Notamacropus eugenii: one gene and its partners. The main gene of each other region encodes a partner of the protein of the gene in region 3 in a complex. Links are inferred from orthologs where the notes say so. Each region holds a gene or a part of one and is shown on either strand. Other genes may lie near its edges.

What was found.
Region 1: SF3B2 (region 3) and SF3A1 share a complex: the UniProt entries of both Homo sapiens proteins name them as parts of the 17S U2 SnRNP complex. The link is inferred for Notamacropus eugenii from reciprocal best matches to the Homo sapiens genes SF3B2 and SF3A1.
Region 2: SF3B2 (region 3) and CWC27 share a complex: the UniProt entries of both Homo sapiens proteins name them as parts of the minor spliceosome. The link is inferred for Notamacropus eugenii from reciprocal best matches to the Homo sapiens genes SF3B2 and CWC27.
Region 4: SF3B2 (region 3) and CWC22 share a complex: the UniProt entries of both Homo sapiens proteins name them as parts of the minor spliceosome. The link is inferred for Notamacropus eugenii from reciprocal best matches to the Homo sapiens genes SF3B2 and CWC22.

The regions. Positions count from the first base shown.
Region 1 is NC_092875.1:15,043,431-15,051,153, forward strand, and holds the start of SF3A1 (splicing factor 3A subunit 1), read left to right. Parts: upstream 1-4,714; 5' UTR 4,715-4,784; coding exon 4,785-4,847; intron 4,848-7,723. Other genes in the region: CCDC157 (coiled-coil domain-containing protein 157), read right to left, coding at 1,112-1,283, 3,428-3,676, 4,451-4,584. UniProt on the Homo sapiens protein: Component of the 17S U2 SnRNP complex of the spliceosome, a large ribonucleoprotein complex that removes introns from transcribed pre-mRNAs.
Region 2 is NC_092875.1:319,598,753-319,606,141, forward strand, and holds the start of CWC27 (spliceosome-associated protein CWC27 homolog), read left to right. Parts: upstream 1-4,384; 5' UTR 4,385-4,572; coding exon 4,573-4,614; exon of another isoform or gene 4,615-5,078; intron 5,079-7,389. Other genes in the region: protein SREK1IP1, read right to left, coding at 3,878-3,890. UniProt on the Homo sapiens protein: As part of the spliceosome, plays a role in pre-mRNA splicing. Probable inactive PPIase with no peptidyl-prolyl cis-trans isomerase activity. As a component of the minor spliceosome, involved in the splicing of U12-type introns in pre-mRNAs.
Region 3 is NC_092873.1:18,740,113-18,747,757, forward strand, and holds the start of SF3B2 (splicing factor 3B subunit 2), read left to right. Parts: upstream 1-4,644; 5' UTR 4,645-4,659; coding exon 4,660-4,816; intron 4,817-7,645. UniProt on the Homo sapiens protein: Component of the 17S U2 SnRNP complex of the spliceosome, a large ribonucleoprotein complex that removes introns from transcribed pre-mRNAs.
Region 4 is NC_092876.1:243,434,615-243,441,762, reverse strand, and holds the start of CWC22 (pre-mRNA-splicing factor CWC22 homolog), read left to right. Parts: upstream 1-4,143; 5' UTR 4,144-4,331; exon of another isoform or gene 4,332-4,620; intron 4,621-7,148. UniProt on the Homo sapiens protein: Required for pre-mRNA splicing as component of the spliceosome. As a component of the minor spliceosome, involved in the splicing of U12-type introns in pre-mRNAs. Promotes exon-junction complex (EJC) assembly.

The DNA of each region.
Region 1 (7,723 bases), on a different chromosome or scaffold from region 3:
AGAAATGACACAAATAAGAGGACAAATAGATAAACCAAAATAACTATAAAAACGATAAATAAAAATGAAAAGTTAGTTCTTTGAAAATACTCGTAAAACTGATAAGCCTTTAGTCAATCTGACTAAAAAGGGGGTAGAAAATCAAATCCAGAAAATTGTAAACTAGCACTGTGAAATCACAGCGAAACCAGAAGAAATAAAAAGAGTGATCAGAACCTGTTATACACAATCATACGCTAACAAAAGTGGAAATACAATAGCCATGGGGAAAAACTTCAAAAATGTAAAATAAACATCGGAGAAAAGATAAAATTGAGATCTTAAATAGCTCAAAACAGATATACCTGTAAAGGAACTACCAAAGAAAAAATACTCTTGGTCCTGATTGTGTGCATTTATCCTTCACTGCCGAAGAAGACTGTGCCATCAGAGAAATGATGACGTGACTTGCACTTGACTTTGTTTTTTTGAGTGAGGGAGGGCTGTGCAGATCACCAGCCTCACTTCTCCTCCAGAGTCATCTGAATCCAGTGACCAGATATTCATCAGGATGACTGGAGATGCCCCAGAATGAGGCAATTGGGGTTAAGTGACTTGCCCAAGGTCACACAGCTAGTGAGTGTCAAGTGTCTGAGGTGAGATTTGAACTCAGGTCCTCCTGACTCCTGCACTGGTGCTCTATCCACTGCACCACCTAGCTGGACAAATTTAGCCTTAATACCTAAACCAGAGAAGGATAAAGCACAGAAGAAGAGCGATAACCAATATAAATAAATGGGGGAGTCTATGAGACATAATGGAATATTACTGTGCTACAAGAAATAACGTATGTGAGCATATGAAGAGACATGGAATGATCCACATGAATTAATGCAGAGTGAGGTCAGCTGAGCCAAGAAAACAGTATACACATTTACTGTAATGCAAATGAAAATGACAACCAAACACCAAAAAAATCAGAAGTGAATTTTGCAAAATACAAGAAACAAACTTGGCTCCAAAGCAAGAAACGAGAGAAGACCCCCTGCCCTGGCAGAGGGGGAAGCTGTCAGCCACTCCTGTTGTCTGGAGGTCACATGCCCAAGGGCTACTCTGGGAGAGCCATCCCTACCTTAGTCAGCGATTGCCGGTAGAGCTCTCCCAGTTTCAGTGTGCTGGTCCAGTACTTGCGCACAGTGAGCCCAATGGACATGCAGGGCCCCACCTCACGGGAGACGGGGATCAGCTCATTGCTGGTGATGTTGTCCGTGTAGCTGGTAAAACTCTGGAGAAGCAAAAGAAGCCTGGGGGACAAAGAGACTCAGACTGAGGGCCCAGAGCCAGACAGGCCAGAGAGGGCTCGAAAGCCTCCACCTGGGGAGGATGCTCCTGGTCACCCAGTTTGTCAGTGGTCTTGGAAACCAAGGCACCCTGGGGAGCTCACAAAGCTCTATAGGCATGTTGGCCAGCACATTGGACAGTACTCTTAAGTACCCTGACATAAAAGAGGACATGTCACTTGGCCCTTTGGCAGGTTTTCTTTTTCTTTCGGAGCAGGGAAGGCAAGTCAGTTGGGGTTAAATGACTTGCCCAAGGTCACACAGCTAGTAAGTGTCAAGTGTCTGAGGCTGGATTTGAACTCAAGGTCCTACTGAGTCCAGGGCTGGTGCTGTATCCACTGTGCCACCTAGATGCCCCTGGTAGGTTTTCTTTTGCCAAATTCAAAGCTCACTGGCTCTCTGAGTGGCCGCCAGACTGTCCAGAGCTTGGACTCTGAGTTTTCTTGCTTTTTAAACTTGTGGGCTTTTTGTGTGTCCTGACTGAGTTAAGCAGCTGAGGCCCCCAAAGGGGCAGTGACTTACCCAGGTCCCACTACTGATAAGCAGCAAAGTCAGGACTGCAGCCGGGAGGCTCATGCCCTACCTTGCACCCAGGCCATCCCAGCACCTTTGGGGCCCATTTCCTCTTTGGAGGAGCAGAGCTGCCAGAGGCTCCAGAGGCATCTACTCAGCCTAGAAGAGCACACACCCCACCTTCCATAACATTCTGAAGGTCTTCCAGCTCCCACGAGGCAGCATGGTAGGACTGTGCATGGTGCTAGATTTGGAGTCTGAAGACCAGAGTCTGAATCATGCCTGGGACACTTACTGACCGTGGACTTAACCTCCCTCAGCCTCAGTTTCCTCATCTGTAAGATGGAACTATAATTGTAAGGATCAAATGAGATAACATTCCTGGAAAAACAGGCTTTTAAAAAGCCTGTGTTTCAATGTAATGGAGTACTATTGTGCCATAAGAAATGATGAACAAAAAGATTTCAAAAAGGCCTGGAAAGACTTATATGATCTGATGCTGAGTGAAAGGAGCAGAACCAGAAGAACTTTGTGCACAGCAACGACCACAGTGTGCGAGAGTTTTTTCTGGTAGACTTGGAATTTCGTAATAATGCAAGAACTTATTAAAAAAAAAAATCCCAATGGTGGTTTTCTAAGGCAAAATGCCTTCCACACTCAGAGAAAGAAATATGGAAGTCATTCGCAGAATGTAGCAGATCATGTTTGTGTGTGTGTGTGTTTTTGTGTATCATGTTTTGATTTGTTATATGATTTCTTCCATTTATTTTAGTTCGACTACATAGCATGACTATAGTGAAAATGTACTCAATAGGAAAGTATATGTAGAACCTATACAGAATTGTATGCTGTCGTGGGGAAGGAGGGAGGTAGTGGGAGGTAGGTGTTGGGGGGATAAAATCTTAATTTTATGGCAGTGATTGTAAAACATTAAAAAATAATAATAAAATAAAATTTAAAAAAGAAAAAAAAAAGCCTGTGTTTCAAATGGAGCTATCTGACTTGTCACTCAGGTTTCACTGAATGGCCAATAAGAGCCCCCAGCCAGCCAGTTCTTGAGTTCTAGAATGAGTGTGCATGGCAATTATTTTCTGTTCTGGCTAGAAACTCTGAGGGTCTTCCCCTTCCAGACTGATGTTTCTGTGATGGTAAATTCAGCCATCTTTTGTCACAGTTCTTATCCAGCCCTTCATCAGATTGGGTGTGCCTCAGACAAACTGAGGCCTGAGAAAGACCTTCATTTAGAAAGGCCAAGGTTACCCCCTGCACCTCAGGCCATCCTGAGCGTCTGGGCCTATGTTGTGCCGCTGGACTTTCCATGACTCAGAAGGGAGTAAGGCTGAACACTTAGCTGGCTCTGCCTCACTGAAATCCAGTTCTCAGAGTTAAGACATCACCCTCAGGATGTCATCAGTCCTGAACTGCAGATCTCTATATAAATGCTGTTGTGGCTCTGAAGGTGGGGGCTCCCCTAGCACTCTAGCTCTGGACAGCTCCCAGCCTTGGAAAGTCAAGCGGATACCTGCTTCCCTGCCCGCAGCCCCTGCCCTCCGGGCACCCGCTCCAACCCCGGGGCACCCTGGCTTGCCCCTCACCTGTCAATCACCAGCTCCAGGAGCACCACATGGGAAAGCTGGGTGAACTCCGGGTTCCCTTCCTCGTGGTCATAGTGCTCCAAGAGGGACACCAAGTCCAGGTCGCACGACACTTTGTCGGGGAATTTCCAGGAGGGGAAGCGCACGGCCCCGGCTCGAGAGAACACGTCCACGATGGCTCCTTGCAGGTCTGTGATGTCCTTCCTCAAGCTGTCCATGCAGCTTTGGTTCCCCAGCAGATGGGCCATCCTGCAGGCCAGAAGATGCCCTGGGCGGAGGCAGGACAAGCGCCACCTCCTGCCTCCCGGCGCCCTGGGCCTCGGTTTCCCAGGTTTTAATTCGGAACCCACACGTCTTCATGTCCCTCCAGCTGAGCTCTTGGGTGGGACCCCGGAGGGGAGGGAGGGGATGCTTTCTGGGCACGTGGGCAGACACCTGTGCTCGGCTCGTTCTAGGGCGCCCTGGCGGGGGGGGTGTCTCAGGCTCCCCCCCATGTGCCCGGCCCCACCGCTCCCGATCTGAAGCCCAGCCCTGAGCCTCGGAAAGGTGACGGAGGGCTAGGAGGTCCGGCCAGTCCCTGACCAGGCCGAGCTGCTCTCCGGTGCTCTTGGTCTTCCCTTCGTACCCACGACCCCAGTCCCTAGCCTGGGGCCCGACACCCGGGGGGGGCGAGGGGACGGGGGGGCGGAGCTTGACATGAGCCCCTGGAAGGTAAGGAGCCTTACCTGGGAATAGGGCTGTGGAAGGGGGGGAGGGAGCAGGGCGGGGCTCCTGCGACAGGAGGGGTGCTCCCCGAGGTGGGAGGGGCCCAGGGATGCGGACAATAATGGCGGGGTTCCTCCAGGAAGGCAGGTGCTCCCTGAGGTAGGAGGATGGGCTCCCCAGGGGAGGTGGGAGGGGCGATCCCAGGGATGGGGGGGAGATGAGGGGCGGGGCCAGAGTGGGGGCAGTGAAAAGGCCGGGCCCAGGCGGGCTGGGCACCCCGGGGCAGGATGGGACCCCGAGACGTCAGTCCGAGCTCACCTGCCCCCAGCAGCGCCGCTGCAGCTCTTGGAACTATTCCCGCAGCTCCCGCCCCCGGAGCCCCGGCCTCGACTTCTCAGGTCCGCAGCCGCTCCCAGCCGAGTAACTGAGGTCTCCCGCCTGGCCGTCTCCATGGCAACGGCGTCTCCACGTCCGGCGTGCGCGGGGGGAAGGGAGAAGCGCCCCCGGAAGGCGAGGGGCGGGACCGGAAGCGCGTCTCCCCGCCTCCATCAAGGCGGTCCGCCGCCATCTTGTGAGCGCCCGGCTCGGCCCTGTCGTAGCGGCCGCTCGCGCCCGGACCGCCGTTGGAGCCGCCGCCCCCAGCGCCGCAGACATGCCGGCCGGACCGGTGCAGGCGGTGCCGCCGCCGCCGCCCGTTGCCACGGAGCCCAAGCAGGTAGGCGGTTGGCGGGCCCCTCTGGGCCTTGTCCGCTGATGGGAGGGAAGGGGAGAGGAACTGGAGGCTTTGGGGCCTCCATGGCAGAGAGGGAGACGGACTACAGCTCCCAGGAGGCTTCGCGCTGGCCGCGCCGCGCGGCCACCTGGGAGCCGGACGAGGGCGCTCTAGGCCCGTGGTCCTGCTGCCATGGAGCCCCAGCGTGGCCTGAGCGCCCCCGCCGGCGGCCGCGTGTGCAGAGCGGCGGGAGCCTGCTCGTCCCCGGGGCGGGCTCGTGGTGAGGAGCCCCCTGAGCGCTGGGCCCATCCCAGACTCTCGGTGACCCCTCCTGGGGTTGTCTTGCCGCAGATCCCGGAGGGATCTCCATTTACAGATGGGGAAACGGAGGCAGGCAGGGTGAAGGACGAGTGTCACTGCCCCCCCCCCTGCCCGCGGGCCCCTCCCCCAAAGGCAGACACGTGGAGAGACGGGGGAGGGGCCGGGAAAGGGAAAGGCAGACACGAACCCCGCGATGGAGCCTCATTAATCCTAACCAATTAATCATGATTAATGATGATCACGTAGCCCTTTCCCACTTGTGACCTCACCGCACGCGTGGGCCGAGAAGTCGGGACGGCTCGTGGATTCGTGCTCGGGAGTGGGCCCAGAGTTTCTTCTCGAGACTGTGAGCTGTTGGGGGGCAGACGCCGCCCCCCTTTGTGCCCAGAGCCTAGCACGCAGGAGGTGCTCAGTGATCCATCCGGCACCTGCCCGGGGGCGTCCAGGATAAAGCGCCTTCCGCCAGCCCGCCTTCCTGAAGTTTTTAAATTGTGAGTTCGTTATCAGTAAGCAGTTGAAGGTCCAGAACAAGGAAGGTTACGCCAGAAGTTGTGCCGTGGTTCCGTGGTCCCGAGAGGCGTGCTGGGCCATCGCACCGCTCCTGATGAGTCCCAGGAGGAGAGGGTGAGGCTGGTGCCGCCCTCGAGTCACCGGCAAGCGCCAGTCATGTCGTCCCCCGGGCGTCACGGCCTTCTGCAGGAAGGAAGGACGGACGGACGGACGCAGTAAGGGATGTGTGCAGAGTTAGCCAGGCAGTGCCAGGAGCGCTGGCTCGGGGCCCCTCACGCTTGGAGTGCGTTGGAGCGTCCAAGTGCTCCAGTGCCTGGAGCGAGCTGTCTGATCGGTGCACGAGCCCAGCGCCCTCCTGTAACACGCTGGGATAGCACGTGCTGCCTCCCGGACCGGTGCCTCTGTGAAGGGGCTCTGCTGTTTCCTAGCCTCCCTTGAAGGTTCCGAGGGGGAGATGGCCTGCCACCTCTTCCCAGAATGCCTTCCGGGGAGGGGGAGAGAGAGAGAGAAAGGGTGTGTGCTCATGCTGAGTACTCCATAGCCACCCGAACACGGGAACAAAACAGCCCCTGTCCTCAAGGAACGGAATTCTGTCAGGGAAAACAATGTTCCCATCCAGCTAGATCTTTGTGTGTATTTTCACATCTGGTTATCACTGCATGAATTGTTCCACTCCCCTGTGAAAGCTCTTTTAGGGCAGAAACTTTGATTTTTCTCTTCATGGCCCCAGTGCTCAGCACCAAATCCCCAGAAAATGTCTGTTGAGTTGAATTTACATTGTTGACCCGTCCTGTCCTGCTCTCTGTGACCCCATGATTATAACACACCGGGCTCTTCTTTCCTACTCTCTCTCAAAGACTAAGGTCATGTGTGTTGCTTCCGTGACACTATCCCTTTCATCTTCTGCCACTCCCTTTTCCTTTTGCTTCAGTCTTTCCCAACATCAGAGTCTTTTCCCACGAGTCCTGGCTTTTCATCATGTGGCCAGACTATTTAAGCTTCAGCCTCAGTATTTGACCTTCCCGTGCGTAGCCTGAATTAATTTCTTTAAGGGACTGATTTGGCCTCCTTGATGTCCAAGGGACTCTCAGAACTCTTCTCCAGCTCCACGATTCAAAGTGTCAGTTCTGTAGTACTCTTGTAGTTCCTCTCACAGCCATATGCTACTACTGGAAAAGCCATAGCTCTGACTATGCCAACGTCATATCTGTGCTTTTACTCTGCTGTCCAGGTTTGTCATATCTTTCCTTCCAGTGAACAAGCATCTTTTAATTTCATGGTTGCAGTAAGTCAAAAAAACCCGACCCAGCCTGTTGGTAAAGCCTGACATGTGCTAATGGATTCCCCACCTCTAATATCCCTCACCCACCCCCACCCCTGCCTGCCTTTCAGCCAGCAGTGGGGGGTTCTGTTTCCCCATCAGTCCTCTGAAGACAAGTTTAGTCATTGCAGGCATCTGAATTCTGCCTCCTAATGTTGTCTTTATATTCTGGTGGTCCTTTGTGTCTTGCCTGCCAAGAGGAGGAGCTGTCTAAGCCGAACTCTATGTCTGCCAGGGCCTGCTTATTTAGCATGGCATCCTCCACAGCCCTGCTCAGCGGGCACCAGATGTTCATTGAATGTTGTAATTGAGTCCCTGGGGGTAAGAATGCTTGGGAACACATCTTGTGAGGCCAGCACTACACCTCAAAACAAAAAAAAACACTGTGTCTCTTGGGGTGAGGGATGAAAGAGAACAAAGCCTTACAGAGGCATCTTCCACTGTTCTGGGGCCCATTCTCCCTCATCTTTGCTGACTGAAATGGCCTCCCCACTTCACTCTGGCTTCCTTGGCAGCTTCTTCTGCCATCCCTCACCTGGCTGCTTTGCACAGACTCTTGTTTTACCTCAACGTGGTATCACCCCAGGGCATGGCCACTACAAATGTTTAATATACTAAGGCCTCCTTGGGGCACTTCCCTGAAGACTCTGGTTTTAAGAGAGCCCTAATGAGCCAGTCTGGGCTCTTTCCTGCCCTCATCCCCTATGGAACTTCCGTGGTGATGAGG
Region 2 (7,389 bases), on a different chromosome or scaffold from region 3:
GAGTGAGAGAGGGCTGTGCAGGTCACCAGCCTCATTTCTCCTCCAGAGCCATCTGAATGCAGTGACCAGATAGATATTCATCAGGATGACTGGAGATGACCCAGGATGAGGCAGTTGGGGTTAAGTGACTTGCCCAAGGTCACACAGTTAGTGAATGTCAAATGTCTGAGGTGAGAGATGAACTCAGGTCCTCCTCACTCCTGCACTGGTGCTCTATCCACTGCACCACCTAGCTGCCCTTCCAATAAAAATAACAAAACCATGAATAGCTGACATTCATATAATTTTAAAAAATACTTTACATCATTTAAGGTTCAACTAACTTTGTAAGGAAAGTATTTTGTTATGTCTGAAAGACACTGTTATCCCCTCCCTTTTAGAGATACTGAAAATGAAGCTTACAAGCTTAAATGACATGTCCCTTGGTGACCCAGCAAACAAACAGTGCATACTTGAAATTTCAGAAGTGCTTTTCAAATACAACAACCCTTTAAAGTGAGACACACCAATACGGTTGTCAGCATTTGAAAAGATGAGAATAGCTATGCTCCTATTAGTGACTTGCCCATGGTCATACAGAGAGTACATGCTGCAGCTTGGCACACTGGCCATCAAGCCCAGTTAATTTCATCTCTGCAATATCTTTTCACAACCATCTCCTCCTTTTTATTTTTTTTACATTAATTTATTTGTTTTCAGTTTTCTACAATCACTTCCATAACTCTTAAATTTTCTCCCCCTTCCTCACCCTCCTTCCCTGAGATGGCTTGCAATAGGTTCTACACATACATTCTTATTAAAAATATTTTTACATAAGTCATGGTGCATAGAAGGATTAAAATGAATGGGAGAAACCATGAGAAAAACTAAACCAAACCAAAACATAACACAAGAGAAAATAGTCTGCTTCATTCTGTGTTCCCATTCCATAGTTCTTTCTCTGGATGTGGATGGCATTTTGCCTCAAGAGTCCTTTGGGAATGTTTTAGGTCCTTGCATTGTTGTGAAGGGCTTAGTCTCCTTGCACACTGTAGCTGTTACTGTCTATAATGTTCTCCTGGTCCTGCTCATTTCACTCAGCATTAGTTCACATAAGTCTTTCCAGGTTTTTCTGAAGTCCGACTATTTGTCATTTCTTATAGCACAACAGCATTCCATTACATTCATATACCACAACTTGTTCAGCCATCCCCCAATTGATGGGCATTCCCTCAATTTCCAGTTCTTGGCTACCACATAAAGAATTGCTATTAATATTTTTGTACATGTGGGACCTTTTCCCATTTTTATGATACCTCCTCCTTTTTCTTCTGCACTACCATCCCCCTCACGTAGAAAATAATCACTATTCACGTGCACTACTGTAATAGTCTTCTACCGTCCAATGAATGCTTTCCTCCTCTGCTGAATTCCTCATTTGGAAATCAGGTCACATCACTTTTCTGCTAAAAAATCTACAATAGCCTTAATTTACTGCCTAGGCAAAGTTCAATCTCTTGTCTGGCATGTAAGGTACCCTCCAGTCTGGCATTACTACCGTCATACATCAACTATCTAGTTCAGGCCAAAGTGGCTATTCTGGGAATGTACCTTTAGGAATCTTTTTCATTAGTCCCAAAGGAATTCCCCTACCATTCTTTCGTCTACTGAATTCCTATCCATTATTTACAATTCAAATTAAAATGCCAACTCTTTCTCTGGGACCTCACGTAGCATTTTACATAAATCTCTAATGTACACATCATGTATAATTTTATATTATAATTTGTGTGTGTGTGTGTGTGTGTGTTATACTCTCCAGAAATACTAAGTACCAAGAATGTAGAATGATCCCTGACTTACCAAAATTCTACTTCCCCATATCCCTTGACAACGTAGATTTGGGGAGGCAGTTTATAGGATCATAGATTTAAAAATGAAAGTTATCTCAGATGCTATCTAGTCTAATCCTATTATTTTACAGGTAAGCAAACTGAGTTCCAGATACGTTAAGTGAGGTACCCAAGGTTATACAGGTATTAAAGAGGCAGAGAATTTAAGTGGGTCCTGACTCCATCTCCAAGCACTGTACCATGAAGTGGGCAATTAATACATGCCTATTGAATTGATTTGAGTGTATTCCCAGGAATGATACTTTAAAGTAGGTAGGACAAGTATTCACTTAGGAAACTGGCTCAGAGAAATTTTCATTCTTTAACCATGCCTCAATTTGGGGTAGGGATTCTTAACTTGGGATACAAAATAGACAAGAGGTCTGTGGAAAGATTTTAAGGAGACTGTGAATTTAGATGGGGGAAAAAGACTTCTTTTTAAAAACTAACCTCTAATTAAAATTGAGTATTTCTTTCAATTATTTAAAAACATTATTTAGGTGAGGGATCCATAGGTTTTACCCGACTGCCAAAGGGGTCCATGACCCAGGGGAAAAAAGGTTAAGAACTCCTGATTTAGGGCCATAGAATTTAGAGCTGGAAAGGGTCCTTAAAAACCACTTAGTGTATAACCTCTTTTAAAGGAGTCAACAGAGGCACGAAGAAATTAAGGGGACTGTGTCTTGCTCTCTGGTGGTGGTATGTAGAAAATATGTCACATCTAGATTAATTAAAATTAGGCTTTGGTTTCTAGACACTTTTCACTACACCACCCTGTCTCTGGAGTTTAACTTAATTAAAAAAAAGGCATTATTACTATTAAAAAACTTTTAAAAATATCACGCTTCCCCCATCTCTCCTACTCTCTCCCCCACAAACATCTGTGCACACACACCATGTATACATATATACATACCACATGCAGACATGAACGCACAACATATATACCTATAAACACACACCACATATACACTGTCCACAATACTGTCATATATGTAACACCACATACATACCACAAATATACTTTATACATTCGCACGCACATGCATGTACACCACATAAACATATACCCATGCATACAAAATACATCACATAACATATGCATACCACATGCATATACAGCATGCTTACACTCATACATGCACGCCACATATAACATAATCAGACACACATATATTCATAAACATATATTACATAAAATATGTATATACCATATATACACATATAAGCATACACATGTAAACACATACACACACCAGACATGACATACAACTACAAACATAATGTGTTTGTGTACACGCATGTGTATACATGTACGCAACACAAGCCACGTACATGTCTATATCCCACACTCTCAAGCCATATCACAGCACACATTTCGCCCACATAATACATGCTCGCACATGTACAATCACACACAATCATACTACATTCATATACGTATAAACATATACCACGCAAACGTAATCAAATACGCCACCCAATGACATGTGTGCTGTGTTGTATCCCACTCTTCATGACCTGTGAGGTGGTTCTCTTGGCAAAGATAGGCGAGGGGCTGGCCACTCCCCTCTCCAGTGGAGGTGATCTGTCTAGGGCCGCACAGCTAAGGAGTGTCTGAGGCCTCACATGAACCTCTAGGCACGGATCTACCTAGCTGCCTCCACCGCCTGGTACACACACCGCACATACACAATGACACAATCACACATGTGTTCGTACGCTACACACACATACAGACACCACACATACACACTCACGTACACGTGATCACATATGCACAATACACCACACACGTGTTCCCACTACATTCATACATGTAAGTACATCCCCCATATACACACTCACAGTCTACAATCACACCGCACACACACATACACAATCCACCACGGAAACCTGACCTCCCGCTCACGCTCTCCCTCGCCCAGGCCGCAGAGCTCCGAGCTCCCCCGCCACCTCCCTCCCGGCTCGCCTCCCCGTGCTCCGGCCGACCCCGGGGCAGTCACCTGGCAGGGCCATAGCCCGGGCGGAAGCAGCCTCTGGGCCTCAGCTGCCGTTGCCACCGCCGCCGCCGCCGCCGCCGCCGCCGCCTTCGCTCCCCGGACACCGCTTCCGGTGACTCCGGCTGCGCCGCGGGTTTCCCCTCTCCCGCCACAGCCTCCTCTTAGGGACCCGAGTCCCGAGGAAGACTACAGAACGCGGCAGTTTCAGCCGCAGTTCGCGGACGGAGGCATAAGACCGAGCACTGGTGGTCCAAACCATTTCTGACATATACATACACCGGGGGAGGGCGTTTAGGACTTGCCAATCGTTAACTAAAGATTGATTTAAAACAAAAGAAAGTTTCTTGCGAAGCTAGATAATTAAATGAATATTAACTTCAAGCGGATGCTCAGCGGGCTCTCTTCACTCTCTCCAGGAGAATTTCTGTAGGAGAAGGTCGAGGACACCCCTCCCCGCAGAGAGCGGTGCGCAGGGCCAGGTGCAGTATGGCGGCCGCCTGGGTCAGTTAGTGCCTTGTTAGGCTGTCGGAAGGGCAGGACCGGCAGTTGATGCCGTAGCTGAGGCCGCCTCTAGGAGCTGTCAGGACTGGCCCGCTGGGCTTTCCCTTCGCCGTGCAGCGCGGACGGTCAGACAGAGAGCCCTTGAGCCTCGTAAGGAGCCCGGCAGCGGATCTCCCCTCCCCCGACAGCCGTCCAGGATGAGCAACATTTACATCCAGGAGCCGCCCACCAACGGAAAGGTGAGAGCGCGCGCGGGCGCGGGGGAGCTTCCCCCTCGCTTCCCTGTTGGCGGGGTGCGCTGTGGAGAGCGCCGGCCGCACCTTGGAGTCGGGAGACCCGAGTTCGAATTCCCGCCCTGTCGTTTACGAGCCGTGCCGCCTTGGATCAGTCACTTACCTTCCCCGGGCCTTAGTTTCCTTGTCTTTAAAGTGAGGAAGCTGGACTAGATGACAGCTAAGGACATGGCAGATTCCATCCCCCATACTTGGGGAAGATTTGCAGTTGGACCCGACGCGAACTGGGTGCTCAGTTTTTCAAAACACACAGAGAGGGGAACTGTCTACTTTCTCCTCTTTCCCCCCAGCCTTCCTTCGACCTCAGAACTTTTGAAGCAGGGGACTCTTAACCCTCTTTTGTGTTCTGGACCCCTTTGCCGGTCTGGTGAAGTCTGTGGAACCTTTCTCAGAAGAATTTTGAATAATTGGTTAGTGAAAATAAGGATGTAATTTTTTTCCCATGCAAATTTACAGGAACCTCTTCCCCCCCACCCCCCCAAAATCTGTTTACATCCCCTAGGTAAAGAATCCTTGCATGAAAGGAAGCCCAGTCAAGTATTTATCATGAACCCACTATGATCCAAAATCCGGATTCTGGAATCTGGATTCAAAGGATCCCAAAGTGGGCGAAGCTGGAAGGATCCAGGCTCGGGGCAGGACTGGTGGTAGAAACCTTGGGTGCAGTTGGGAGAGCTTAATAAAAATAAGGGGCTGTGGAAGCACAAGGAAAGAAGAGAAGAAAATTTTGAAAAACTTTGTACATGTCTCATCTGTTGTGTAATGAAGTCAAAGTCCTTGTGAGTAAGTGATTTTCCAAATAAGCATACAAAGTGCAAGCTATAGCCCATCAGTGGTTAAGTCCAGGGGCAGGTCTTAAACAAGCAGATGTTGGCAAGTGAGGTTGCCCTGCATTGTCAGAAAGTCCAGAATATCAGCGGGAATCCCTGCAGGCCATGACTTTTTACAATAGGATACTATGTTCAAAATTTCAATGCAGTCAAAAACCCCACAAATTTATAATAAATTATTAGATTTAGCTTGTGTAATTTAAAAAAAATTTTTTTGAAATGATGCAAATTTTAAAAAACACTTTAAAGTGTTAAAGAAAACTTTCTTTGTAGATTTCCAGGGGTGTGCCAAGTAATGTTTTTTTGAAAAGGGTCCTTAAGCCAAATAAGTTTGGGAACCTCCTATCTAGATGCTGGAGATCCAGGTAGGGCCTTTGGTACCACCTAGTCCAAACCCTTCCTGTTGTAGATGTGGGAAGGGAGATGGAATGATGGGACTTGCTTAAGGTCACCTGGCTAGTAAGTGGTCAGCCAGCCAATAAGCATTTATTAAATGCCTACTACAACATTTATTAAACCCCTGTGACAAGTGCTGTGCTAAACGGGGATTCAAAAAGAGGGAGAACACAGTTCCTGCCATAAAGGAGCTCACAGTCTAATGGGGGAGACAACAAACAAACATGTACAAACAAGTTATATACAAGATAACTAGGATATAATTAAGAGAGATTTGGGGCACTAGAACTAAGAGGGGTTATGAAAGACTTTCAATGAAAGACGGGATTTCAATTAGAACTTAAAGGAAACCAGGAAAATTACTAGGCAGAGTTGAGGATGGAGAGCATTCCAGGCCTGGGGGACAGTCAGAGAAAATGTCCTGAGCTGGGAGATGCAGTATTTTGTTCCTGGAACAGCAAGGAGGCCAGTATCAGTGGATTGAAGAGGATGAGTACATTTCATAGAGTAAAGGCTTAAGAAGAGTAAAGGAGGGCTCTAGAATACGAAGGGTCAAACAGAGGATTTTTGTATTTGGTTCTGGAAGAGATAGGGACCCACAGGAGTTTTATCAAGAAAAACAGTCAGTAAACATTTATTAAGCACCTGCTTAATTGCCAGGTACTTTGCTAAGCACCAGGGATACCAAAAGGGTAAAAGAAAGTTCCAGGCCTCAAAAAGCTTATAATCTATGAGGTAGACCATATGCAAATCTATGCAAAGCAAGTTATATACTGGAGAAATAGAGATAATTGAAAGAGTGAAGTTTATTGAATAGACATGGTCGACCTTGCATTTTGGGAAAATCATTTTTGGTTGAATGGAGGGTGAATTGAGTGGGAGAGACTAGAAGCAGGCAGACCCACCTGCAGGCTATTTTCAGGGTTCACTTTAGAGTAATGACAGTGTCAGAGGAGAGAAAAGGGCATGTTTGAGAAATGTTGCTGCAGAGGTAAAATCAACAGGCCCCTGAGAAAAGATTGGAAATGGGGGTTGACAGTGAGTACAAGATAACTCCTAGGTTGTAAGCCTGAGGACTGGGAGGATGGCTTTGCCCTCTACAGTATTAGGAAAGGTAGGAGGAGGGGAGGGTTTAGGAAGTAAGATAATAAATTCCATTTTGAATATATTGAGTTTAAGATGTCTACAAGGTAGCTGAAGATGTGAGATTGGAGATCAGTAGAGAGACTGGGAAAAGAAGGGTAAATTTGAGAATCATTAGCTTTAAGGATGATAATTAAATAGATGAGATCTGATGAGATCAGCAAGTGAAGAAGTAGTATAGAGGGAAAAGAAAGCCCCAGGTAGAACCCTGAAGGATATCTGTGGTTGGAGGGCATGATCTTTGGGAAGATCCCACAAAAGAGACAGAGAAAGAGTGGTCAGATAGGTAGGAGGAGAATCAGGAGAGTCATATCCCAAAAACCTAGAGAGAAGAGAATATCAAGAAGAGGAT
Region 3 (7,645 bases):
CCTCCTCTTCCTCTTTCTCCACTCAATTTCGGTCCTGGAAGAGGTACGTAGCCTGCATCCTTGATCCTGGCCATTTCCCTGCCTTCGATCTCTAGCAGTGCTGGTCTTAGGGGCTGCTTCCCAGACCTTAGCTTTGCCCTCTGGTAGAGAGACCCTATGGTCTTTGAGGGCAGCTAGGCCCTTCAGAGAGTCTGTTGACCCAGCATTGGGGACAGCTGCCCTTCATCGCCCTTGAGTGGTTGGCAGAGTCCCTGTCTTTATCAGTATTTCCCTCTGCCTGGTGTGGGCAGAGAGCCTGGAACTAGAGGCTGGGCACAGAACTGAGTCTACGGAGGGCCCTGAAATGGGTGGACCCAGGCCATGCCCACAGAGGTACCCAATCAGGAGTGGAATTCCATGACAGCTCTTGTTAGGACCACAGAGGAATTATCAGAGAAGAGAAAATGATGTGAAGTTCTTGAGTTTCTGTCACATCTTAAGCTCTGGCAGCTGTCCCCACCCCACCCTCATCCCCATTGTACTGCCAGGCCTCAGTTTCTCCAGCTCTAGGCTGTATATTTTGCTCCTACTATCTGGATTCCCAGGGAGGCTCAGGTTACCCGGAGCTGGGACATATCTTCAAGAAAGGAACCGGTTATGCCTGAGCTCAACTTGATAACAAGGGGAGGGGCCCAGGATCAACTCCCTGCCTGTCTCCCTTAGGTCTGGCTTCTCCCCTTCCCTGCCCCCCACCCAGCTTTTGAAATCTCAGTCCTGAGAAATGCCCCGAGAGGGAAAAGCATTACCTATGGGATGAAAGCATAGGATTCAGAGATGGAAGACATCTCAGAGATCATCCAGCCGAAACCTCTCATTTTACAGATGAGGAAGCTGAGGACAAGGTGACAGAGAAAATGAGAGGCAGAGCACATATTCCAAACCCAGTCCTGGGACTACAAGTTCACACTCTTCCCATTACATTGGCATTCAGAGCCAGTGGGGAAGAAGGTAAATGCAATTCTCACAAGTCATTCTTGGAGGGGGACAGAGGTAGGTATGTGCTGGGTCATTGTAGGAAACACCTAATGGCACTCACAATCTGCCTCCCAGATGGCTCCCATGGATGTTTGGCATAGCAGGGAAAACCTTGGGTCTGGGTTCTGATCTTGTCCGTGTCATGTTTGGACTTACTGCTGGTAGAAACTTGACTGGTGACCCCACCTTTCTGACCTCAGTTTCCCCATCTGTAAAAGTGAGGGGTTTGGGCTAGACTATGCCTGAAGTCTCTACCAGCTCTCACTGCTATCATCCAGATAAGGCGGTGGCTGCTGTGTGGAGGACTTGCAGGAACGGGGAGGCTGGGCCTAGGGAGAAGAGAAGGGCCATTGTTCAGAGGGCCATCTCAGGCAAGGCCTGGGTGGGGCTGGAAAGGGTGGGCACCAGAGCTGGGCTCTGAGGGGGGACAGGACAGCACAGGTCGAGCCAGGGCAGACCAGAATAGAGCTGGTCTCAGTGTCCATGCTTCACAGCTCTCCCTGGAGGGTCTGGCTTTGGCCCTATCTCCTTTCAGCTCCTGAATGTGCCTGGCCCAGGAAGAGTGGGGCAGGCTCAGACAGCTCCCCACAGACAATTGAGAGCAGTGTTGTCCTGAATCAACTCTTCCTGCCCTCCCCTCTGGTGCCCGCCTTGGGAATTTCTCCACTTCCTTCTCTCTAGGGACCTAGGAGTCTGGCCCTCCTATCACGAGGAGTCTGGCAGGCTCACAGCCAGGGACACTGCGCTACCAGTGGGACTTGGAGGAAGTCACTGCTTTTCTCTGGCCTCAGTTTGCTTCTCTGTTTGGTAAGAACAGCAGGTCATCTATGGAAGCTCATATGCTACAGCAGTCTGTAGATGGCATAAGGATGCCTGAGCCCCAAGGTCCCACAGCTTGTGTTGGAAGGCAGCTCCCTCCTTTCTCCTTCCCTCTTTCCATCTTTCCTTCCTCCCTCCTTTTCCCTTCTCCCTTCTTCCCTTCCTGGAAGGAGCAAGCAAAGTAGGATTTTTTTGCTGTTTTTTTGGATTGAGTTGTAGCCAATCAAATGCTTTTGATTGAATCCGGAGTCTTTGGAAACAGCATATAACTAATTCACTCACTTAGTATTGAATTGCTTGGAGGGAGAAGAGAGAGGAGAGAGAGGAACAGACCCGAGAGAGAGAAGCAAGTGGGAGCAGACCAGGGGAACAGAAAGAGTGTTTGCGATGTCCTCACTCCCTCTCTTGATCCGTGTTAATTTCTCAGACAGAAGCCCTGTCCTGTTGGTCTTTATGAGTGAATTGAGCTGAAGAGCTGAGATCTGCCCATGGAAGGAGGCTTAGCTTAAGCCCCTTTTAAGAGCTGTTAAGGTGAATTGAGATGATGGGGTTGGTAATGTGTATAAATATACATTGTCATAGCCTTGTTAAACATTGTTTTCCTAGAAACAGAAGCTGCAGGAAGGAGCCCCTGGAGCCAGCTGTCAGGCAGAAGCAGGAAGAGTTAGGAGTGGAACAGTTCCCATGAGCTGAGGCAAGGAGCAGGAGCAGAGAGCTTCCTATGTGTGAACCCAGGCAAGAGCTGGGAGTGGTCCGTGCCCACAGAGGAGGAGCCACAGGGTTTGGAGGTCAGCCTTCAGTCAAGATGAGAGAGGACTTTACTTGAACACTGTGTATTGATTAAGGACACTGTGACCTGGGGGTGGATGCCTTGGTATTTTCTGTTATCCCTTAAGGGTGAGTCATACTAGGGAAGACCCTAGCCTGGGACCCCCGACTTTGGGGATGCAGCGATATGCTCTGTGTCATGACATACCGACTGTTAGGAGATACATACATACATATATATATAGTAGACGATATGTTTTGTTTAACGACCTTTCTATGCTTTACTCTATTGTGTTAACCTGAAAACTTGGTTAAAGAAAAACATCAGACTAAAGGCATGCGTTATTAATTAATTAATTAATTCCCTCTTAAAGATAACAGTCATAGCACTATGGAGTCAGAGGTGACTCTGACTATCTAGTACAGAAATCATCTGTCTTAAGTACATTTTGCCATGAGAAAGAAACTCTCCTAATTAAGCAAATCATAAATTCAGTAAGACAGGACAATTAACAAAGCAATGTTAGTCAGGCCTTGAGATTCCAAGCTGGGTAAGCATATGTCTCGGTGATAAGGAAAGAAACCCCACCACTAGTAAGTGGGAGGCTTCCTCCCTTAAACAGATAATTGACATAGGAAAGGGTAAACAATGTTCAATAGAAATTACGACCTAAGATGTCTATTTTTTCTTTATCATTAATATGCCATAACATAGTATATGTCTATAGATCAAAGGAAAGTCCCATTATTCATAACATAGTATGTATGTGTCTATAGATCATAAGATTCAAGGAAAGTCCCATTATTCAAGATATAGTGTCTTAGGTTAAAGGTCTCCTTAAGGAATGTAGAGTCGCCTTGGCTGGCTTTTGCTGACATAGGAAAAGGCACTCTCTGAGTTTACTTCAGAGAGAACAAAGAGATTACTCCAAAATTTTATATTAAACATTATCAATTGAACAGTTTACTTCATCGCTGAGTAAATAGTTCACTAAACTATGATTTCACAGCTTAAGTCCTGAGGCGCTGTTGTGACTGATGTTACATCCCCTCCCTCTTTCCATAACCTGGGCTCGGTTCAATGGAATCACCTTCGAGGGGCCTTTGGATCAAGTTCAGTTTGCCCAGAGAGAGGGGAAGGGCTCCCCCCTCTTCCTTCTCTTGGACCCCGCCTCGGGGCAGCGGCCGAAGGCGGTCTCCAGCGGGGCTGGGGTGCCGGAGCCACGATTGCTGGGGGGAGCCCGGGAAGCCGGGGTGCCTCCGGTCCCTCCCCCCCATTTGTGGGCATTGTACTTGTTGAAGTAGATCTGTATGTAAACGCTCGTCTGCGGGGCTGACGGAAGGGGGTGCGGGCCCCCCGACAACCACGCAGTCAGCGCTTGCTGCCTCGGCGAGCACGATCCGGGAAGATGCTGAGCGCTGCTGGACAGAGCGCCTCGTGGCGCCTCCGCGCAACTACCACCTCCTGCCGGGAGGGGCCGCTGTGGATCAGAGTTACCGACCAGGCCCCCCTCCCCCGCCCAGGCAAACCCGGGGGAAGTGACTTGCCCAGGGTCACAGGGCAGGTCTGAGGATGATTCGAATCTGCCTCCAGGCCTCCCGACCATGGGCCTCAATGTCCTCATCTGTCCAGCTCTAGGGTCCCATGACGCTGTCTGGCGTGATACTCCACACCCCTGGTCCCTCACTTCTCCCCAGAAAGGAGAAGCAACAGCCCAGTTCTGACAATGGCTCTTGGAAACGGTGGGGAACTACATTTCCCATGGGGCAGCGGGACCGCTTCTTGGCAACGGCTTGACGTAGGGGCCCGTCTTCTCTTCCCCTGGTTTCGATCCACAACTCCCAGAAGGCTTAGCCACGAACCAGACCCCTTTCCGCATGCGCCTCGCGGATTTCCCCGACTACGCTTCCCGGCGTGCTCCACGAAGCCGCCCTCCCTCTCTGCATTTCTATTGGCTGTTCCCATCCCGTAGGCTCGGCTCCTATTGGTCGCCTCCGGAAGTTCCGGCAGGCCGTAGCTCTTCAGTCCCCTGGGCCGCGCGCCTTCTCGCCGCTAAGATGGCGGCGGAACATCCCGAAGCGCCTAAAGGTGAGCTTCAGCTGCCGCCGCCTCCGCCGCCGCCCCCCCCGCCGCCCCCGCCGCCGGCCCCCTACGGCGCCTGGGCCGCGCCCGAGCTGCAGGCCAAGCTGGCGGAAATTGGAGCCCCCATCCAAGGTGAGCCTTCCGGCGCCGAGGCCCGTGAGCCTCGCGAGGAGGCCTGGGGCCCGCGGGGGAGCTGAGGAGACCTCGGGGCTGGGGGGCGTGGTGGGGAAATCGAGGCGGGGGAGCCCCCATCTCTGGATCGGGGCCCAGGGGAGGTGGGGGGGGAGCTTCGGGGAGAGTTCAGTTAAACGCTTCTGGCGGGCCTCGGCCCAAGCCCGGAGCCCCCTAGTGTCCCGGGTCCGAGGGGGCAGGGGGATGGGCCGTGTGGTGCGTTCGGGGGACCGTCCCCCGAAGAGGCTCATGGGATCGGTGGGCGGAGAGGAGGGGGTCCATGGCCAGGCCCTCTTGCGAGCCCCGGGGTGGGGGGCCGATCCCGGGGAGCCGGGGGTGGAGGGAGAGTCGGCAGGATTGGGGGTATCCCTCCCCCAGGGCTGCGCTCTGGGGTCTGAATGCTCCCGGCCCTGTTTGTGCGGGGAGCGGGACCGGATAAGAAATGGGTGCCGAGTCCTGCGGGAACACCACCGGCCGGGCCTCCTGTACTCCCCACTTGTCCTGGTTCCCGGGGCGAGCGAGAGCGTTATAAGGAGCCCTGGCAGACATCCACAAAGCCGGACACCCGGGCAGAGGGTTCAGAAGAGAGGCAGATTTGGGAAGGAAACCCCTGGATTCAGATCCAACCCGACGGACGCTCACTGGCTGTGTGACCCTGGCCAAGTCACTTAACCTCTGCCTGCCTCAATTTCCTTACCTGCAAAATAGGGATCCTAACAGCACCTACTTGGCAGGGCTGTTGTGAGGACCGGAGCGCCCACTCAGTGCCGGGCACACAGTAGGTTCCCCATATAAGAAAAGCAGGCTCTCAGCACTTAACAAGGATTACTGATAGGAATGTATCCACCTGGAAACCTGCAGATCTAATTCAAAGAACTCCTAAGTCGAAAAGGATGGGGAAGGCCGAACCTGTCCATAGAGAGCCGTGGCCACACCTGGACTTGGCCAGTGATCCAGTCTGTGCCCTCAGATCTCTCTACAGAAACGTCTAATGTTGGCATAGCAAGTAAGATGAGCTGGGTGCTGCAGTGGAGAGACTTACCCGACCTGGAGTCAGGCCTCAGACACCTACAGCTGTGAGCCTGGGCGGTCATTTATCCTTTGTTGGTCTCTGTTTCCTCTTCTGTGAGATGAGAATCCTAATTCCATCTGCCTGCCAGGGTTGTGAGAGGTTTGCAGAACCTTTAAGCATTGTCTGCTTGTGGCTGTTGTTGGCATTGTGGCAGGTTTGACCTCAGCCTTGGTAGGATGGGACCTCATGACTGGCAGTATGGTTCAGAAGAGGCAGGCTAGGCCCAAAGCTAGCAGTGGTGGAGTGGCCTGATTGAGAAGGTAGACTCATGACTGGAAACCGAGAAACCGAGGGATGGGGAAGCCCAGAGTCAGGCAGGATATTGTCCGCAGAGTAGACAGCGCACGGGAGATCCATTTATTTGCATGTATTCTGGAGCATTGTTTTTTTTCTAGGAGCCAAACAGCTATTTGTTGCTTTGTGATAATACTACTCATCTAAAATAGACCAGTTTGTTTCTGGGTCAGATTTTTAGTAACGAGGAGGTTCACCCAATTTTGGGGGGTGGAAGTGATATGCTTGAGAGGAGGTGTCCAGTCCATCTTGGAACATGTATTTGAGATGGCAGGGACAGCCAAGGATGGTCTGCTGGGCACTCTGGGTCTGAGGAGGGCAGATTCTGGCATTGGGCATGCGTGGGAGATGCCACATCTGACAAATGGACTTCTGAGCCCCCAGAGAAGTCTTTTCTATGAGGAGCTGAAAGGGAAGTTGTGGGGTCAGTGGGGCCCTCTTAGAGGGACATCCACTGCCTGATTTAAGACAGTGGAAGCCCCCAGGGGACTGAGAAGAGCCACAGCACAGCAGGCGCCCGAGCTCAAAGCTGTGAGGCTGGTGAAACTCTTAAGTAAAAGTGATGGTGTTGGGGCAGACAGAGCAGTGATGACAGAGGAAGGAGACAGGGTGGATTTTGCTGCATTTGAAAAAAGATGGCCATTTTCCATATTGTAGGAAAAGCAGAAATCTGTTTTCTTAACTATGATACGATCAGAGGGCTTTGGGGCTGTCTGGCCAATCAGAAGCATCATGAAAGGTTCAGTCTCTTGGCACTGGAGCGCCAGGACAGTGATTCGGAGAGCCTAGCGGCTTGCACTTCTAATCACTGCCCAGGATCAAGGCAGAGATGGTGGGTGGTGCCAGTTTACAGGTGAGATTGCTGTAAAGAAGAGCCAGACTATCGAATGATCGTGGCAGGCCAGAGCGTTGGGCCGAATATGACGAGATGAAATTTAGTGGCGATAAATGTAAAATCGTAGCCCTGGATTCAGAAGAGCAGGTGCACCAAAACTGGATGAGGAATACATAAAAAAGGGCCTTGGGGCTTTGATGGGTTAGCTGGACGGTGTGGCAGCCCCAAGAGCCAGTGTGACTGCTGGGTCTTAATGAGAGGGGCAGCCTGCTTGCTGGGCTTTGTCTAGGTCAGGCTAAAGGAGAGGGTGCAAAGGAGGGCAGCCGGGAAGGGGAAGGCCTTCGAGTTCATGCACGTGAAGTCTGTTTGAAGAAGGTGGCCAAGGGGGTCATTGGGAGGAAGGACTGTTAGACTTCTTGACTGACCCCAGAGAGCAGAACCTGGAAGGTTCAAGAAACAAGTTTGGACTTGATGTGGGAGGTGTTGATTTGATTAATTGTTAGTTGATGAATTCTTCCTCATCTAAGGTAGATAAGAACTTACTTGTTGGGGATGTTCACATGGTCCTCTAGGGCTTCACATGTGGCTC
Region 4 (7,148 bases), on a different chromosome or scaffold from region 3:
GAAAAGATCTTTAATCACATTAAAATAATTAACAATATAAATACATATACTGTTCCCAGTTAAATAAACTCTTCTTTCTGTACTTTACTCCTAGTACAGACTCTTAGTTGATAAAGGCAAGATTAAATCAGACCACTTAACTATATCAAAATAAAAGCAGCAAAAAATCCTATTTTGCTTGCCATCACACAGATTTATCAGCCCCACTCTCTCTCGTCCAGAGCCTTCAACGTCCAGTGGTAAGACAAAAGTCAAGACAACTGGTAATGACCCAGGATGCAGTGGATGACCTTGGTGTTTTCAATGTCTAAACAGACTCTTAAGAACTTCATAGCATCTGCTTCAGCCACCTTCATGGCCCTTGGAACATATTGTTCCCATCCTCCCAAAAGTCTTCACATGATGGGGTAGACATCCCCCTAACTCACTGAAAGTTTTGAAGCCTGTTAGTTACCCTCAACCTGGTGTAACTTGTCTGCCAAGGCAGTTTTACCATGCTGTACCCACTGAGCATGCTAAAGTTTCTTCGAGCCACAGGTGAGAGTTGAGCAACAGATGAGCACCAAAATTGGGTGTGTGTGTGTGTGTCTGTGTGTCTGTGTGTCTGTGTGTCTGTGTCTGTGTGTGTGCAAGCAGCCCAAGATGATCACAGTTCTGCCCCTCACTGCCTACTCCATCCTTCTGGGCCTCTACCTATATAATGAGGTGATTGAACTAAATGACCTCCAGGGTCCTTTCTAGTTCTTAACCAGTGATCCTATGTGATTTTGACACAGGAAATATTGGTGGTAAGGGAGATACTTACATGTAGACTATTAGTCTAGACTAGAGTCACTCTTTAAAAGGTTAATGCACCTCCTAGTGTCTCTGAAAAAACTGAAGGTCACCCTTTAGTGATTCCCCATTTTACTTATACTGAATATAACAATGTCTGTTAGTGAATGGGGAGGAGGGAGCTCAGGTGAGATTTCTTTCTACTTTCTGATAATAGCTATTAAGTGTTGTACAGGGTGATATCATTTAAAAATAATAATTTTCTTTAAAAAGTCTAGAATCCTTCTTCAGGAATGACTGAGATGAAAATTAAAAGAATGGGATCAATAAACTGAAGAAGAGCTAAGGAAGAAAAATGCCAGATTAATTTGCATTTTTACAAAGTGCCCAGGCTAGTTACTTCTATTAAGGTTACGTTAAAACTTTGCAACTTTTACTTTTTTATTTTAAAACTCCTTTAGTGTCTTTAATAAGGAAAATGTTTACTTCAAGAGAATGAGGATAAGAAAGAAATTGTAAACCTGCATCCCCTTCCTTAGTAGATCTGATTAGGCAAGAGCCTAATGATGGCCAGAAGATGGCCAGTTAAGTTGGGTTTTACCAGCTAGATGCCCTGCATTACCTTGCCTTTTTCTAAACCTTAAACCTACTGCACCCTGAAGTTCATACATTGGACGACACTAGGCCTCTGCCTAAGGGCTCTCTTCTGGACCCTCACGGCTTAAGAGTAGTCAATAGTAACCGTTGCTGTTTCCCTACCAGCCTGAGGTTGTTTTTTTTTTCTACGCCTCATTAAAGGGGTCATCCCAGGTTACTTTAAGAGGCCGATTCACTGAATGGGTGTTACCTCACCCTAAGTGAGTTCCTGAAAAGACTTTGGCACAGTCAAGTACAAGTTATGTCATCATTTCTCTGATGGCATGATCTTCTTCGGCAACGAAGGATGAACGCAGCAACAACAGATCTAATTGAAAGGAACCTAGAATAAAAAGAGGAGAGGGAGATAGTAATTACCAAGGGAAAGCAGACAGACACAGAGAGAAAGAGACTGAGACAGAAGCTTTTGGGGAACCAACCTATAACCCAAAAGATTTAACAATCACAGCAGAGCCTTGGGGCATAACCACATCTTTATATGTGCTTCAGAAAATTAATAGCAGGTGGAATCTATAAATATTTTATTAATTTAATGGGGATGATAACCAGGGTTGTTATGAAAATCAAATAAGATACTATCTGTAAAGCATTACATTAATGTTAGCTATTATTATTATTCTATTCTATTAACTTCATATCTGAGTATATCCTTTGATCTCCTTCACCCTCACTCAATGATCCAACCTATGTAACAAAGTATCTTAAAGAGAAAAAGGAGCTCAGCAAAACTAACCAACACATTGACCTAGAATGAGAAAATGTACAATCTTCTACAACCATGGTTGCCAACCTCAACAATGAAGGAAAGAAGGTACATTTTTAAAGTTCCTCTCTCGAGTCAAGGTTGGTCATTACACCATTGTTTTTGTTATTGTTGTTCTTTTCATTTATATTGCTATTGTTTTACATATTGTTTTTCATTACTTCTGTTTACTCTGCATTAGTCAAAGTCATCCCAAGCTTCTCTGAATTCTTTATATTCACCATTTCTGGTACAAAGTAATACTCCACTTATACTATGTTACTATATAACAGTTTGTGTAGCCATTCACTAATTGGACAGCTACTTTGTTTCTAGTTCTTTGCTATTACAAAACATGTTCCCACAACTCTTTTTATGTATATAGGATATTTCTTTCTATCCTTTATTTTCTGGTGGATATATGCCTAACAGTGATATATCCTTGTTATATGTATTTAGTCACTTTTTAAACATAATACCAAATTGCTTTCCCAAATGGTTGGACTAATTCATAGTTCTAAAAACAGTATATTGTTATTATCTTTAAATAGTTCTTCAACATTATCTGTGCTTATCTTTTGTCATCCTTGCCAACGTGCTGGGTATGAGGTGAAACCTGTGGACTGTTTGGATTTGAATTTATTACTAGTGATGTGAATTAATACTTCATATGTTTAACAGCTTACAATTCCTCTGAAAATTTTTGTTCATATCCATTGATCATTTATTTATTGGGGAATTAAAGCTAGGTCTTAAATATTTGTGTTTGCTTCCTATATATCTTGAATGCTGCATCTTGATCACAAATATTAGAGGCAAAGATTTTTACCCAGACAAAAGCTTCTTTGTTAACCCTGTTGCATTGATTTGTTAGTTTAAAAGCTTTTCAATATTATATAATCAAAATAATCTCATCTTTTAAGATCATTTCTATCCCTTGGTTCAGAACTCTTCCCCTAGCCACAGATGTTCTCTTCTTCTAGAGTGTGAGTGTGTGTGTGTGTGTGTGTGTGTGTGTGAGAGAGAGAGAGAGAGAGAGAGAGAGAGAGAGAGAGAGAGAGAGAGAGAGAGAGAGAGATTGATTTAATATTTAGGTTGGTATCCATATTGAGCTTATTTTGTAATATTTTGTAAGATGTTGGTCTACATTTCATTTCTGCCAAAGTAATTTCCAGTTCCGAACAGTAACTCGCTTGGGTTTTTATCAATTACCATTCCAAATTAATTAATTTTTGATTCATTCTTATCTAGTTTTTCCACCGATTTTTTTAATTTTAACTACTAACTACTAAATACTAACAACTTCTAACTTTTAACTACTACTTTACCTTCTACCTTTAAGTGTATTTGGATGATAATACTTTATGGTATAGTCTGAGACCTCAAAATGCTGTTTCTCCCTTCATTCACTATTACCCTTGAGCAGCTTTCTTTTTACACAAAAAAACAGGGTTTTCTCTATTTAAATTGTGGCTTTCAAATTTGCAAAGCACTTTACTTACATGATCTCATTTGAGAAAAGCCTAAGATGGTTGTTCCCATTTTTCGGGAAATAAAGGTTAAAATAAGCGGCATGCCCAGGGTGGTCCCGCAAATAAAGTCGGAGGCAGCATCTGAACAAACCTTCCCGACTTCTAGCAAACCTAGTCTAGCCATAACCCAGGCAGCTCAATACCTTTTTGTCGCGTGTTCCTGTAAAGGCAGAATTCTGCAGCTTTATAGGCTTTGTAACTCCTGAAGGCACAGGGAGCAAATACACTATCGGGCATTTCCAGGGTTTTCCTGCAGGAGTATCCCGGACAACTTAATAACCTTCTCAATCACGGTAAGACAGCTTTAAAGCTGAGCACCCGAGCACAGTTCTCACACAATCGTGAGTACCTCTAGAGGTAACAAGGGGAACTCGGATTCCCAGAGAGCATTGCGGCCCCGGCCGTACTACAACGTCCACTATGCACTGCGCGAACCCTCCCCTCTACGTGGGTGTACGCTGGAGCTTGTAGTTTTTTTGAACACTTCCCTAGTGACCATCTTGGCGAAGTAGAAATTTCGGTGGTTTGGGAGTGGTCGGCTTCTCTAGATGGTATCGAGATTTGGGATTATTTTAAAACAAGAAAAAATCCAGCTCTGGAAATACCGACGGCTTCTCCGTATCCAGGTTTTGAAATCAATTATCATTCACTTCCTCTCCACAGCCACCCAGCCGCCCCAAACCTCGAGTTAGGGCGGGGCCAGAGGAACCGGAAGTTGCGTGGTGGAGCATTATGGTGGCGCAGTGGAGCTCCAGGTATTTGCTGAACGCGTTTGCGAGGAATGGCGGAGCGGAGCGGGCGTGGGGCTGGGGAAGAGGGGCGCGGGGCTTCCGCATGTGGCTGCTTTGATGTACAGAGGAGGTCTGGGCAGAGCTGGCGCCCCTCGACGTGGGGCCTGCCCCTGCCTCTTGGCGGGTACGCCCCGGAGTGGAGGGATGGGGTCGCTGCCGGAGCCCTGTCCCCACGCGTGGGGATCGGGGAGGTGGGGGGGGGGGGCTCTGGGCGGTTAGAGGTGACCCCCCCCCCCCCCGACGTTTCTTAGGCGTCTGTGAGTACACAGCGCTGAGCCACAATGCCGGCACCTAGGAAGCGCTGAAGTATTTCTCTCCTAGTCCGTTCCTCTCCTCCTTTTTACCTTTACCTCGTCTTCCCTTTCCTCTTTTCCCCCTTTCCTCCCCTAATCCCCCATGTTCATTTTCCTTCCCCTCCTTCCTCTCCATTCCCCTCTAGCCTTCCCCTCTCTTGACCTGAAAGTTTGGTTAAAAAAGGCAAGCAGCCTGAATACATATGGTTTATTCCCTTAGAACTTGGGGTTCCATGACTGTGGAGCCGGAAAAGTCAGTCCCTAATTCTAATACAAGAATGACCAGGCTTCAGTCTGTTTTAGGACGTCCAGGCGTGTCTGTGTCCCTCAGATCTACGGTCTCTATGTGGGTTTAATCATTCCATGAGAAAGGAATTTTCTTAATTGAATGGATTGTAGATACAATAAGGTAACAGAGTTGACAAAGTTTCAACTGAAATTGACTCGACATCTGAGTTTTCTTCACCATTAACATACCATAACATAGTATATGTCCACAAAACATTAAAAATGTGGAAAAAAGCCCTATTATTCAAGACAGCGTCTTGGGTTAATAGTCTCATAAAGTATACTAAGTTAGCCCCATCTGGTCTTGCTGACATAAGAAGAGGTATTCTCTGAGTTTACTTTAGAGAACAAAGAGACTGTTAGGTCCAGGCTCTTCTGACTGATTAATTCAAGCTCTGGCCCTTATTAAAGTCCAAAAATGATAGTAAATGTTATCACCCTCTCTCCTCCTTTCTCCACTACTTCTCCCCCCTTTCTTTTCTTCTCTCCATTCCATATCTTCTCTCTCCATCCCCTGCTCCCCTTCTCTCCCTCTCTGCCCACCTCTCTCTGCTTTCTTCTTTTCTCATCCTACTCTCTCCTCTCTTCCACCTTTGTCTCTCCTTTTACTGTAGTAAGAGGGAGAAGTGAGGCTGGTGACCTGCACAGCCCTCTCTCACTCAAAACAAAATCAAGTGCAAGTCATGTCATTTCTCCGATGGCATGGTTTTCTTCAGCAAGGAAGGATGAACACAATCCTGTGAGTAGATGCAGCTGGCTGGATGGGGGGACCCAGCTAGCTGAGTAACTCAACTCCTCTCCTGTCTGCCTCCCTTCCCCTTTCTTCTCCTCTCCAAAGGAAGATAAATTTGGATGGCCAAAAGATGCCCAATTGACTTGGGTTTTATTGGCCCCTGTTCCAGCCTGTCCTGTCTTCTCCTGTCCTGTGACATTAAAACTACTGCACACTGAAGCTGGGATGCCTATGGACCCCTGCCCAAGGGCTCCTCTGGATCCTTCTAGCTTTGGAGTGATTATCAATAATAACTGTTGCTGTTTCCCACCCAACCTGCTGTCTTTGTTTTCTTGATCTCATTAAAGGGACCATGCTCTGGCTACTTCTTAAACGGGCCTATTCAATGAATGGGCATTGCCTCACCCTAAGTGAGTACCTGAATAGACCTTGGCCTAAAGGGGCCAAGGTCTCCCATTGCATTCTGGGTCATCTCCAGTCATCCTGGTGAATATCCGGTCACTGGATTCAGATGGCTCTGGAGGAGAAGTGAGGCTGGTGACCTGCACAGCCCTCCCTCCCTCAAAGTCAAGTGCAAGCCATGTCATCATTTGTCTGATGGCATGGTCTTTTTCGGCAACAAAGAACGAACACAATCCTATGAGTGTCAAAATATGTGTTCATTCAGTTTAGGTCTTAACAAGTTCTTGATAACATTACCTCTTCAACCTTAGCCACAAATGTTTCTGTGTAAGCTTTGATTATCAAGTTGCTCTGTTTTAAAAATTAATTTTTAAAAAATAATTATTGATGCCTTTTGTGTTTTATAACAGTCTCATTTCTGGAGAGAACAAACACTGCCTGCCCTACCTCTATTGAAGCTTCCCTTTTAACAAAGAAAAGCAACTAATATGGTTACCATAATCTAACAGCTTCTTTATCTATTCTCCAATACTGTCATTGGTTTTTCAGTTACTTAAAGTTTGGTTTCATTTTAAAGATCTTCATTTTGTATTCTTTTGGTTCTCCCTATTTCATTGAATTAGTTCGTACAAATCTACCATGTTTCTGTGAATTCTTCCTTTTTGTCATTTCTATAAAGGATGACAGCACTGAGGGCCATTTTATATTTTTCTTTGTTTAGTGGCTGTGTTCCAAGTCATCACCAAGTGACAAGCTTCTCTGTATTTAGTTAGGCTGATCTTCAAAAAGTAAACACAGTGTGTGGCATGGACCAAACTAAGGATTGGAAAATCCTGCTCAAACCTAATCTTAAACTAGTATTTCTGTGACTACTTTAAAATATTCTTGTGCAGGAAGGTGCAGGTGTAGTCTTGCTGAGTTGGTTGCTTGTGACAG